2 linked regions of the Drosophila melanogaster genome follow. The protein of the gene in region 1 interacts with the protein of each later gene in a pairwise test. Each region holds a gene or a part of one and is shown on either strand. Other genes may lie near its edges.

Region 1 (5,871 bases):
AACGTAAATCCGACAGTGGCACAAATCGCAGAGTGCCTGGCGGACTGGTATAAGTTGGCTCAGACCGTCTACCTTAAAACTCAAATTTTGGAGAAGGACGTGCGCGATTGCGAAAGAAAGTTGAACGGAATACGCGATGAGTTGTATCACGTTAAGTCGGAGCTGAAGCTGGATGTGGACACAAAGACCATAAACAACAATAATCAGCTGGCCAAGATAGAGGAGCGGAATCGGCTAAGGGTCATGCAGCAGCAGCAACAGGAAGTTATGGCTGTCATGAGAACGAACAGCGATATAATAAGTTTGCTTAGCAAACTGGGCATTACCAACGGAAGTCTGGAAAGTAGTTAGACGGGCATATCATGAAAGTGCAAGAATATTTTATTTGCCTTTACTTTGTAAGTTAACAATAAATGTTTACTTTTTTATATCTGAATTTGTAAAGCAACTACATATATTCCTATTGAAACTTGGCTGAATATCGTGAAAGAGTAAGATTTCTGTAGGTCATTAAATTATTTATTTTATCATGCTGAAATAAAATTAAATTTCCGATTATAGTTATTTAGTTATTGTTATTTAACTGTCTATACATGAAAAAGCGGACTAGACTGCATGGCACACACAATTTAAAAATGGTAGAATGCCCTATGGCTAGAATGCACTGTTTAATTGCTTATTTACATTCTCTAAACAAGTTTACTTTTGACGAAACTGATGATGATGACTCTTGCGAATGTTGGCTCCGTTGTGTTGCTGTCGCTGGGAATGTGATCTTGTGGGTCCATGTTCGCCGGCATCGGCCCGGCGCAAAACTTCGGCGTAGGATAAGTCTAACTTTTTAAGTTTATGTAAGTCTTGCGATACCGTGTTATGATAAAACTCGACGCCATTGAGCTCTATTACTCGGCCCCGAGAAGTTTGGGGAGTATTCATATTCTTGTTATAGATCACCATGGGAGAGCCATTCCAGTTGCTTGAGGATGGAGTTGTCCGTCTGCGGTTACTGCGTCCGAATTCAGCATTCAATGTATCCGTACACATCTTTGAGCTCCCTTGTCCACCACCACGGTTGTTCATGGCCAGAGGACTGTTCCTGGGAGTAAATTCCCGGGAGTTAAACAATTCGATGCGATCTCCAGATGAGCTTTGGTTTCGGTGCTTTCGTCGGTTCTTCTTCTTGATTCCGACACCTACGGTTAGATATTCGAGTGGTTCGCGCTTGAGTGGAGTAAGTATCTGGCCATTCTCCCTTATGGGTTTATAATTCGGTTCGCCGACAGTTGTTTCCTTCGAGGAGCTGTTTAACAAAGTGGATTGCGTTAGGGACGATTGGTTTTGTTGGTTTCGGACATCAAAGATGTGTTTTTTGGCTGTCTTCCGCTCCAGTTTGGTAACGCACTCGGACATTGCAATGGACTGGTTGGATATAACTGAGGATACGACGCTCTGTGTGTCGTCAATGAAGTCATCTGGAGATTCCTCCCTCTCGGGTGTTACCGGGGGTACTTTGGCCGCCACCAAGGGTAATTTTTCTGTAATCTGTGCGTCGTCATGCAGGGACGGAAGCTTGTCTTCTTCGTTATTATCAGCTGCCTTCTTGAGCACTCCAAATATCTCCTTGAAGAGTTCCCTGTACTCCGGGCGATTACGGAAATGAGATTCAATGGGGCTGACGTCGTCATAAATACTGAATTTACAATCGTTTCCATTACTTATTGAGCAAAGGAAGTAACTCGGTCGCTCGTCAGTTTGCGTAGACTTGTTGCTAGTTTCATCCGAGAATCCCGACGATGTAGTTTCTGATTCCGAAAACTCGGTTGGAGTGCGCTTACGTGTTGAATCCAACATAAGGTCAGATTCCTTTGAGCTGTTAACAATTGTTTCTGATTTTTTGCCTTGACTGGACTCGGTCATGGTCTTCCCATCTGGATTGCTGGTGAAGTTGCTCTTGACCGCATTCGAGGTTCTCTTCACCTCCACCAGAGCTTCATATTTCTCGACTAGGTCCCGATAAGGATTTGGTTTGTCGCTAGAGTTGGGATTGAGGTCCTCGGGAATCCGGAAGCGTTCCTTATAATCCGCACCACTATTATCGCATTTCGAGGTGCTTTCGCTTAGTATGCTGCGATCGTCATCTTCGTAGATTTCTTCGGTTGGGGCAATGGAGGATTGATCATCCATATTGGTGTTGCTTTCGTTAATATCCCTCAGGCAGCGACTACACATTTGGCCTTGTCTCACGTCGTCCAGGAGGCTGAACTCCTCGTGCATCGACATTGTTCCCTCATTGGCACTGTTCTCCAGCAGACGTGTCTGCAGACCTTGGTTGTCTTGGATTATGGTCACCAACTGCTCCTCCAGCTCGGTGCACCGCTGCTGTTCGGCCAAGAAGTCACGTTTTAACACCTCCATTTCGCTGAGCAGCTTTACCAATTCCTCGTTGTCTTCACCCTTAACGGCGGTCCTCTCGCACATGGTGGCATTACTGAAGGAGATATCCTCCAATCCTGTCGAGTTCGCTATGGCCATAACATCTAGTTTGGAGAACTCAACACTCTGCTCCTTGCACAGCGATTGAATGCTGTGACTGGACACAGAACCCTCGGTCGAATGCTGCATCCTATAGCGTTCCTGCTGGTACTGATCCACCTTCCGCCGCTCGGTGCTCAGGGATTGCCGAGCATCGCTCAGAAGTTGACTCAGTTCCTCGCAGCGGGCTTCCAGGACTTCCGTGTTGGTGGTCAGCGTCTTAATCTGCTTCTTGTCCCGATTCTTCTCCAGATTTAGCCGCTGATTGGCACGCTCCAGATCCTGAATGCCCACTTCCAGCTGCTCGTAGACCTTAAGCCGTGAATCATTCACCTCGGTCATCGCATTAATGTGCTTGCGCAGATGCAAGATCTCCAGTTCCTGCTCATCCCCCTTAATCTTGTACTCCTTGATGAAGGTTTCCAGCTCCTTATTGCGTTCCAGGAGCGTTTTTCCCAGCTCTGCTGCCAATTGTAGGTCATCGAGCATGAACTGCGATACGTTTTCACAGCCAGCCGAACCGTGATTGGATTCCTCCATCTTGGACTTGGACCTTTCTAAGCTTGGGCTTGATGCGAACTCTGGCGAAAATTTAAAGATTTAATCGATTTTAGTTCATTTAGCAGCAGAGCTTTGTGAGCAAAGCAAAACTCAAACAGTAATTACTTGGCAAATGTCCTCTCAATGGTGGAAAACTGCTACAACAGTAACTTTTTTACTGTTTCATCCCCAAAAACAAAAAGTATGGTATTGCAGCGAGTGCAGAAAAAGCCCTACGTACTAGGGCGCAACTGCATGTACGAATAGTTAATTAATGCTTTTTATTATACACAATCGACCTGCAGACAAAGAACCGAAATGAACTTCCTAGCAGAACCGGAAATAAATTTATAATAGGATTATTCGCATTAGGGGGATTCCTGCTCAGATAGGGCTATGATTTAAGCTCGCCTTTCTTATATAACCCCTCGCGAGTTGTTTGGGGAAACCTTGTTGGATTCTGAAATACCAGCAAAATGCACGGATGTATAATTATATTTTTGAGCTTTCATTGTCTTTGAAAGAAGCATGCAATATCATAATAGATCAGTACATGAATACCCATATTAATTATTACGCATATTTATAGTTGTCAAAATTAATAAATCCAAATTGTTATGTCTCCTTAGTAATTCCTTTGCTCACAGAAGCAAAATATTTGTTTGAACATTATTAATTTAAGTTACCCTAGAATTTGGCGTATTTAAAGTTCAGATACCATCTAAGTTTAAATATATCTAGGAAGTGCAACCGATAATGTGTGGGGTGTTAAAAATAAATATATATATTAATTATACAAATATTTAAGATAAGTAATTATTTGACGCTACCTTATCGCAACGATAGCTTGGCTTTAATTACCAACCACCGCCTGGTCACACTAAGCGGCCGGCGTTCTTGTTTTGATTTTGTGTTTCTTCCTTTTCTTAATTCGAGGACAGTATGAGCCCCCCGCCATGCTGGACGCTCTAATTCGGGCAGCGGAGCTTGTGGATCTGGTCCTGCTGCGTCCGCTGGCCAGCGTGATTGATGCAGTGATTACTGGCGTGTACTACTTCCTGTGGGGCAGCTACCTCGTCGGCTTCTGTTTGGTGGAGGGCAGCAGGAAAGGATGGAATCTGTTGAGATGCGCGGTCAGGAATATCAACGAGGGCATCCGCGACTTGGGCCTCATCACGCTAGATGTGGCGGACTACTTCTACGGCGGCACCAAAGGCGGGCTCAAGAATGTACTCGATTTTGGTCACTGCATATCCCGATTCATCTGCAACTTACTCATCGATCTGGGTGATGGCATCTTGTGGCTGCTGATGCTGCTGCCGAGGGCCATACTATTCCTCTGGGACTGCCTCCTAGACTTTGTGGTGCACTCAATCGTGGCCCATGGCTTGAGCTTGCTGAACAGTGCGTTCCGGGCCTCGATAGGATTGGCCCTGCTCCTCGTTCTCTATATGTTCCGCCGCTATGTGTACCTGATGCTCATCTACCTGCTGCAACGTGGACGCATTGAAATCTCGACGAAGACGCAAAGCGTTTACCTATGGACCCATCATAAATTGCAACACTTCATACACAATGTTTGGTATGTGTCAGAGAACGCAGGATCCGCGAGTCCAGAACGCTGTGTCGTGTGCATGGCTCAAAGCAGGAACGTAGTAGTCATGCCATGCCGGCACCTCTGCCTCTGCAAAGAGTGCTCCCTGCAGCTCGTGCTCCTTTTAGAAGACCGCTGTCCTGTCTGCAGGCACAACATTACGTCGTTCCTGTCAGTTTACGTTTGATATATAAGACTGCCAATTGGAATTTAACTTATAAGTAATTATGATTCTCAGAAGTTAACCAAATGTCTTTGGTTAAGACACTTGTAATAGAAAAAACAAATAATCTTTACAAAGCAGAACAGACAAAACATTTTAATGCAGCTTTCAATTCCCAGACACCTAAAATATCAAGTAAAACAAGTTAAATTGTTTTATGTATTTATTTCAAACCAATGAAAATATACGATTTGTTTTGTATACATTTATGTAAATACGGTTTGGTTTTGCGTATAACTAATTTGCTCAAAAGACAGATATAGAAAAAACGTTTGTTTTGGGCTTACATCGTTTAAGTATATATAATTAAAGATTAAATCGAAATGAAATGATTCGCTTTGCTTGTTATCGTATTGCAGAGTTAATTGAATTGCAAGTTATAGTTCTTCCATCATAACACTTATATGATTTGGGTTCTTAACTGGTAAATGAAACGATCAAATAAGAGTAAATTACACAACTGGCAATATAGCATTGGTAGTACCGATGTCTATCAGATAGACATTTGTGATAGCGTCTATAGGTTTCACCTCTCTTTCTGCTTTCTGCATTTCTAGTAGTAGGCGCATAAGTGGGCTGGATATACATAGCTAATGTACATACATAGCTTAGGTTATCTATTGTGTGGTTGGGGGTGTAGTGGGAAATAGCGCCCGATGTACCGATTGACGCTCTTATTACGAATAACATTATCTTGCGAAGGACGTCTAATTATGCTATATAAATTTAATTTGTGCCAATTTCTTCTGTTGCTTTTCAATTTGTTGTATAAAGCTTTATGCGCTGCATCTAGCTTAATTCTATCCGTTACATAGTAAAATATATATGTATGTTAGTGTGTATATGTATATCCTTTAATAGCAATATTAAAAAGTTCTCATTTAAAATTGTTTCATCGAAAAATTTCACGTTTACTCTTCTGTTTTGTTTTATTTTCTTTTGTTTCGTTTTGTAGCTGTATCTCAAAAATATGAATCCACAC
Region 2 (5,469 bases), on another chromosome or scaffold:
CATAAAAATCATGAAATACCCCACTGCATAATTTACTCTATTCAAATGTAAATTGCCCCAGAGACAAAGGGGTAAGGTCAAAGTTAGTCTTAACTTAAAAATGCAGGCTTTAACTCTGATTGTATGCACTTTAAAGCGCTTTCATTCGTCCTGCCCTTTCGGATTGGCAACAAAGATGGCGCATTGTATGCAACGATAAATGACAAAGCTAATGCGCTTTCATCGCTCCGGCAAACGCACCACGGAAATGCCATGGAAATGCCATCGCAATGCCACTCAAGGATGGCAAGGCATTTGCCTGCTGCCGGCGGCATCTGGTGCCATAAATGTCTGCACATTGTTGCAGGTGGTGCAAGTGCTTGCTTCTGCTGCTGGTGTTGGTGTTGGTACTGGGAAAATCTGCGGGAAATGCGGAAAAGGGGCCCGAAACGAGACGTGAGACAAGCTGAAAGCCGCCTGCAGCTTGTGCTTGACATTTGCCTGACAATCGGCGGACACATTTTGCCACACCGTTCGCCCCTGGGCGATGCGGATTTTTCCGCTGCTTTGATTTTGAATAGCTCACTTACTTAATAAAAGCGCGAGTAAAAAACGCCCTCCCACCCCAGTCTTTGTTTTCTAGATACCCCCACAGTCTGTGCTAATGCTGTGCAAATTCAAGTTCGTATTCTTGAGGATTCCGCTTTACGACCCTCGCTCAGATCAGATCATAATACTTGGCGTGGTATAATTCACAGCTTAAAGTGGCTCATGAAAAATAAGTGAAAAGTCGGGGATTTAAATTGGCAGTTGTTGTAGAATACTCTACCAATTTATTCCGATAAATACAATCAGCATGTTACTCAAATTTCTATTTCAACAACATCTTATTAGGAGGTCTCGTTTTGAAAAAGAATTGTCTCCTGCTATTCTCGTTCATCTTGTTAAATTCCAGAAATTTATTTCGCGTGCCCCAGTAAAGCACACTTAACTTTGTGCCCCCGTCCTCGATCAAGTGTTGTTTATTACGGCTACAGTATTTTTCAGATCCTTCGACGGGGAGAGCATGCCAACGCAAATCTACCTTGAGAAAGCAACAATCAGTCCCCCAAGGCCGCAACAACAAGGCAAAAAGTTGGCAAGTAAATTTATTTATTGAGTCACTTACTTGGCAAGAAATCTCCTTGCCTTCCCAACATGGAATGCGTGTGTGTTTGGCTTGAATTTATGTGTGTTTTGGCTGCCGACTTTCACTTGGCTTTCCACACATTCGCCTGGTAATTGTATTAAATTTCAATTAATATAATATGTGCCTAGGGTGCGGAGGAGTTCATTTGAAAAGTATTTGGTTTATGAAGCTTATCATTTTCATAACTTCTCGAGTTCAATTTGCGGAATGGCTTAATATAAATTTTATGATATGCTATCAAACATTCTGTTTTCAAATCAAAAGCATAATACATCATTTCACAACAAATACAACAAATACAAATAATACAACAAATCACTACCATACAAAATTAATCTAGTCATCTGTTTCTATATTTTGAGTATTAAGTTGCTTATTTAATCGAGTATTTCAATGTTTTCTTACTTGATTCAAATTCTGGATGGTTATTTTTCATCGAAACGCTTCGTAAAGGTTTCTTATTTTTTACGGCCATCGAAGCGAACTTTGTCTTGGCTTTATTGTTGCTACTGTTGTTTTGGGGAATATTCCAATTTTGTTGGTCATAAATTTTAGCGAGACTGGCAAATGAAAAGCACAGCGTAAAAGAAAATATTTAAATTTCCTCGGTTTCCCAATTTTTTTTTTTGTACATTTTTGGCAGCCCTTTTTTCCAGTTCGGTTGAAGGGAGCGGGAGTTCTGTGAGAAAAAATCTGCTTAAATGTACTTCCGTCATAAAATAACGGTAATGCACAGCAATGTGCGTCTGTGGGTGTGGGCATGTATGTTGTGTGTGTGTGTGTGTTGGTGTGTTTGTGTGTGCATGGCTCACGTAGCAGGACGAGCAAGAAAAACCTTTTTATAAATGTTGGTTCGCAGCTTCCGCAAAATAATAAAACAAAAAGGCAGCTGCCAGGACATCCCCCGTCCAAAGGCAACTGGAAAGAATGCTTTTAAATTTGACACACACACCGCACACACACACACACAAGCACGCACTTGGCGAAAAAAAAAATTAATAAATTTTGTGCAACAAAGTTGCCTCTAAGGCACCGATTCGCAACCGACCATGAACCCACTTCCCCGCGTTGCTCACTTCGGTTTCAATTTTTTTGTTCTGTTTTTATCCTTTTTTGTGTTCTCTGTTTGTTTTGATGGCCCAAAACTCGGTGCGGCAACATTTGTTTGAAGTTTATTTTGCATATGTTTATTTTTGTTTACGCAATGTTATTCCCCTTTGTATTATGTCCTTTTTTTCTGTTTGCTGCAGTGTCAATTGTCGCATTGGCATGCGAAACTTTTTTTCGATGGGTAATTTAAAAAAATATACCGCATTTTTATTTTTATCAAGAGAAATACATCATTTACCGCAATATAATAACAAAAGAAACTATTTATCTCATACTCTACTCATACCACCACAAACTTGGCTAAAAAAAAAATTAAATGCCTCACATTAATGCAAATATTTAACACTTAACACTCCCATTAACTTTTAATTGGAAGCTTATCGCTTTAATATGGTAGCTTTTAAAACAATAAAACAATGACGTTCGTTTAAAATTACTTCCACACTTGTGCTTCAAATTTTTTTAGGGTTATATATTACCTATTAATCGATGCTTGCTCAATGCACGAACTAATTAAAATTGTCCAACGTAGAAACAAATAATCAGCACAAAATTCGTTCAACTAAAAACAATAGATATTTGCTAGTGCATTGAACCTCCATTTTTGCCACATTATGTAGATTTATTTGAAGCCAATGGCACAAACGTCAAAATAAACGCATTAACACTGCGGTCAGTGTTGATTAAACTTGTATTTTTAGCAATATTATAATAAAATATTCAACAATAAGTATACCATTTGACATACCTTAAATTAGCCGGACTTTCTGCCCACACTTTTGATTTATCGAGGGGGTTCAGAGACCCCTGGCAGTGGCAATTGACCACTTCACTGGCTGCTCGTGTATTTGTTTTTCTACTTCTAGGTACTTTTTTTTATTATTTTCCTTGTAGATACGCCCGCAACACACGTCAATTAACCTACTTTCGTGCTGGCAGGAGGGCTGGGCAAAAAACCCCAAACATAATATAACCACTAGAACAATACTCGCAATACAACGAATGGGCCAAGTTAATTTGCTTAGACTTTTGTTTTGGTTTCTATCTTTTTTTATTCGCCTTTTGTCGTTTCGATTGCTCAAAGTATTTCCGGCAACACACGTACACACACCCACGAGGGACACTTTAGCCGGCTTTTTTGCCTTCTTGCGCCAAAATCCAATAAAACAGTCTTAGAAGACCAGGTGATATCGCTCATACGACGCGTGTGCCGTGCAGCACGAACGAGTGACAAAAACGAACTGAAACTGAGGACGGAGGACTGAATTCAAATCGGAGTCCAAGTTGGCTGACCAACTGCGCATGCGTCACTTTTAGTCAATGAAAAGCTTCGTGCCACAAGACATTTGCCGCCAACAGGACTCCGAAAATGGCACTCGTTTTCGGAGTAGTCTGTTGCTGATGTTGCTTTTGGTGTTGCTGTTATTGCTGTTGCTTTAGGTGTTGCTGCTGTTCCTGTGGTTGTTGTCGTTGTCAGCGGCAACATAATCATCGGCGCGTGTTGCTCACTTTGTTGGCAGACGACTCGCAAACCGAAAACACAGCCAACAGAACGCACAACAGCAATCCTGGCGCACAATTCGCGCAACGTCATGTCAACGAGACAGTCGAGACAAATGCCACAGATCCCCTGCCAAAAGGACACCCCTCTTCGAATCCTTGAACCATTTTCAGGCCCACCCATTGTCAATTGTCTTGTGGGCTTAATGCTTCTTTGCCTCTGTGTTTTCCCTTTTATTTCAGCGCTGTCTGTTTAATTTCTTTTATCAACAAGCCGAGGTCTGCAGGCTTCCATCCTTCGTGTCCTTCGTGATATCCTCTTGTTGCGTCGCCCACACTCAATTGCTTATCAACTATCGGTGCATGCAGACGGCCTTTTGTAATCGCCAGCTTATTTGATTTATTGCCCTCGCTTTTGATTACAAATACATATGTGCTTAAGTTAATTGAGACTATACCACTTTTAAATTTTTGCTTCTTTTCTGCTTACTTTTTCATTGGCCAACATTATGTTCAAGGAACTATTGCATATTATAGATAATAGGGCGAATGGTTCACTGAAACATGCTCTTAAACCTCGCTGACCTCTCGCAATGGTCTTAAGCTTCGTATCTGGTCAGGTAAAGCCCTTGTAATCGCCTGTTAACTTGACATGACGATGCTTAACTGATTTATCTGTCTCATGGCTAAGACCCGGGCATTGATAGACATGATGGATGGACGAATCGATGAATGGACGTGGTCGAGGAGGGACAGGAAGTGAATTCTTGGTCCGATGAAAGATTGGCGAAGCTTTTTGCTACTTTCCAAATTAAACCGCTTAGTCGAGCGTTTAAATTTAATGCATTTGAGCTGCTTAGCCTCGTCTGCAGTTTATGTTTTTAGTCTATTTGCACACCATCCGACTGCACTTTATCGGCATCTTTACTTAGCCAAATTGCATCTTGGCCTGGTCCAGTGTACAGACTTCAATACTCTCGCATAAATTGCGGTTCTTTGTGTACAGCATTTGTGATTTAACAAGCAGGGTAAATAAATTATGCAAAAATACACACCGAATCGCAAAGAATTCGCCACTTGTTGAAAGTTCCGCCCCGGTATTGGTTGAATACAGTGTATCTCTACATTACACAATGGCATTACGGCTGATTATACTCGTGTAAGACTCGTTATTTATTATGAAAATCTGCTAGCTCAGAATTTAATTTAAAAGTTTGTGGGTTTCGTCACGGCTCAGGCAAATACAATTTGCAATTTCACAAATTTTAGAAGGGAACAAATCTTAAATACGCCACAAAATATGCCATCTTCTGACCATGGAGGACCAACAGGAGCGGCAGCTTAGATGGCGAGTGGCGTTGGGAGCCGCTTAAGCCTCCGGCCGGTCCATTTTAATCCCTTTTAAATTGATATTGTAATTGGTTTTTGTATGTAGTTATGAATTTCAATATGTCGGCCGGGCTTACCCTCTAGTTCCTCCATGTTTTCTGTTTGTCTTTCATGTGTGTTCTCTAAATCATACATATACACATGTTTGAATTATGTGATTTTGGTGGGCTTAGCTGTTGGTAGTGGTTGTGCTGGTTTGGATTACGCCAGGCAATTTATATTTGCTTTGTGGTGGGTTATAGTTGATATTTGACCAGTTGGACGAGGTGTTACTTCAGTGTGCAAATCATAATATGAAAAAA

The links. Proteins that work in one complex are often made in the same cells at the same time.
Region 2: the proteins of Cen (region 1) and Ccn interact in a two-hybrid assay, tested with the Drosophila melanogaster proteins (one large-scale study listed by BioGRID).

The regions. Positions count from the first base shown.
Region 1 is NT_033779.5:20,678,421-20,684,291, forward strand, and holds Cen (centrocortin), read right to left. Parts: upstream 3,427-5,871; 5' UTR 3,199-3,426; exon of another isoform or gene 3,114-3,198; 5' UTR 3,073-3,113; coding exon 700-3,072; 3' UTR 501-699; downstream 1-500. Other genes in the region: IKKepsilon (I-kappaB kinase epsilon), read left to right, coding at 1-351; CG2617 (uncharacterized protein), read left to right, coding at 4,029-4,853.
Region 2 is NT_037436.4:17,688,033-17,693,501, reverse strand, and holds the start of Ccn (Ccn), read right to left. Parts: upstream 3,488-5,469; 5' UTR 3,027-3,487; intron 1-3,026.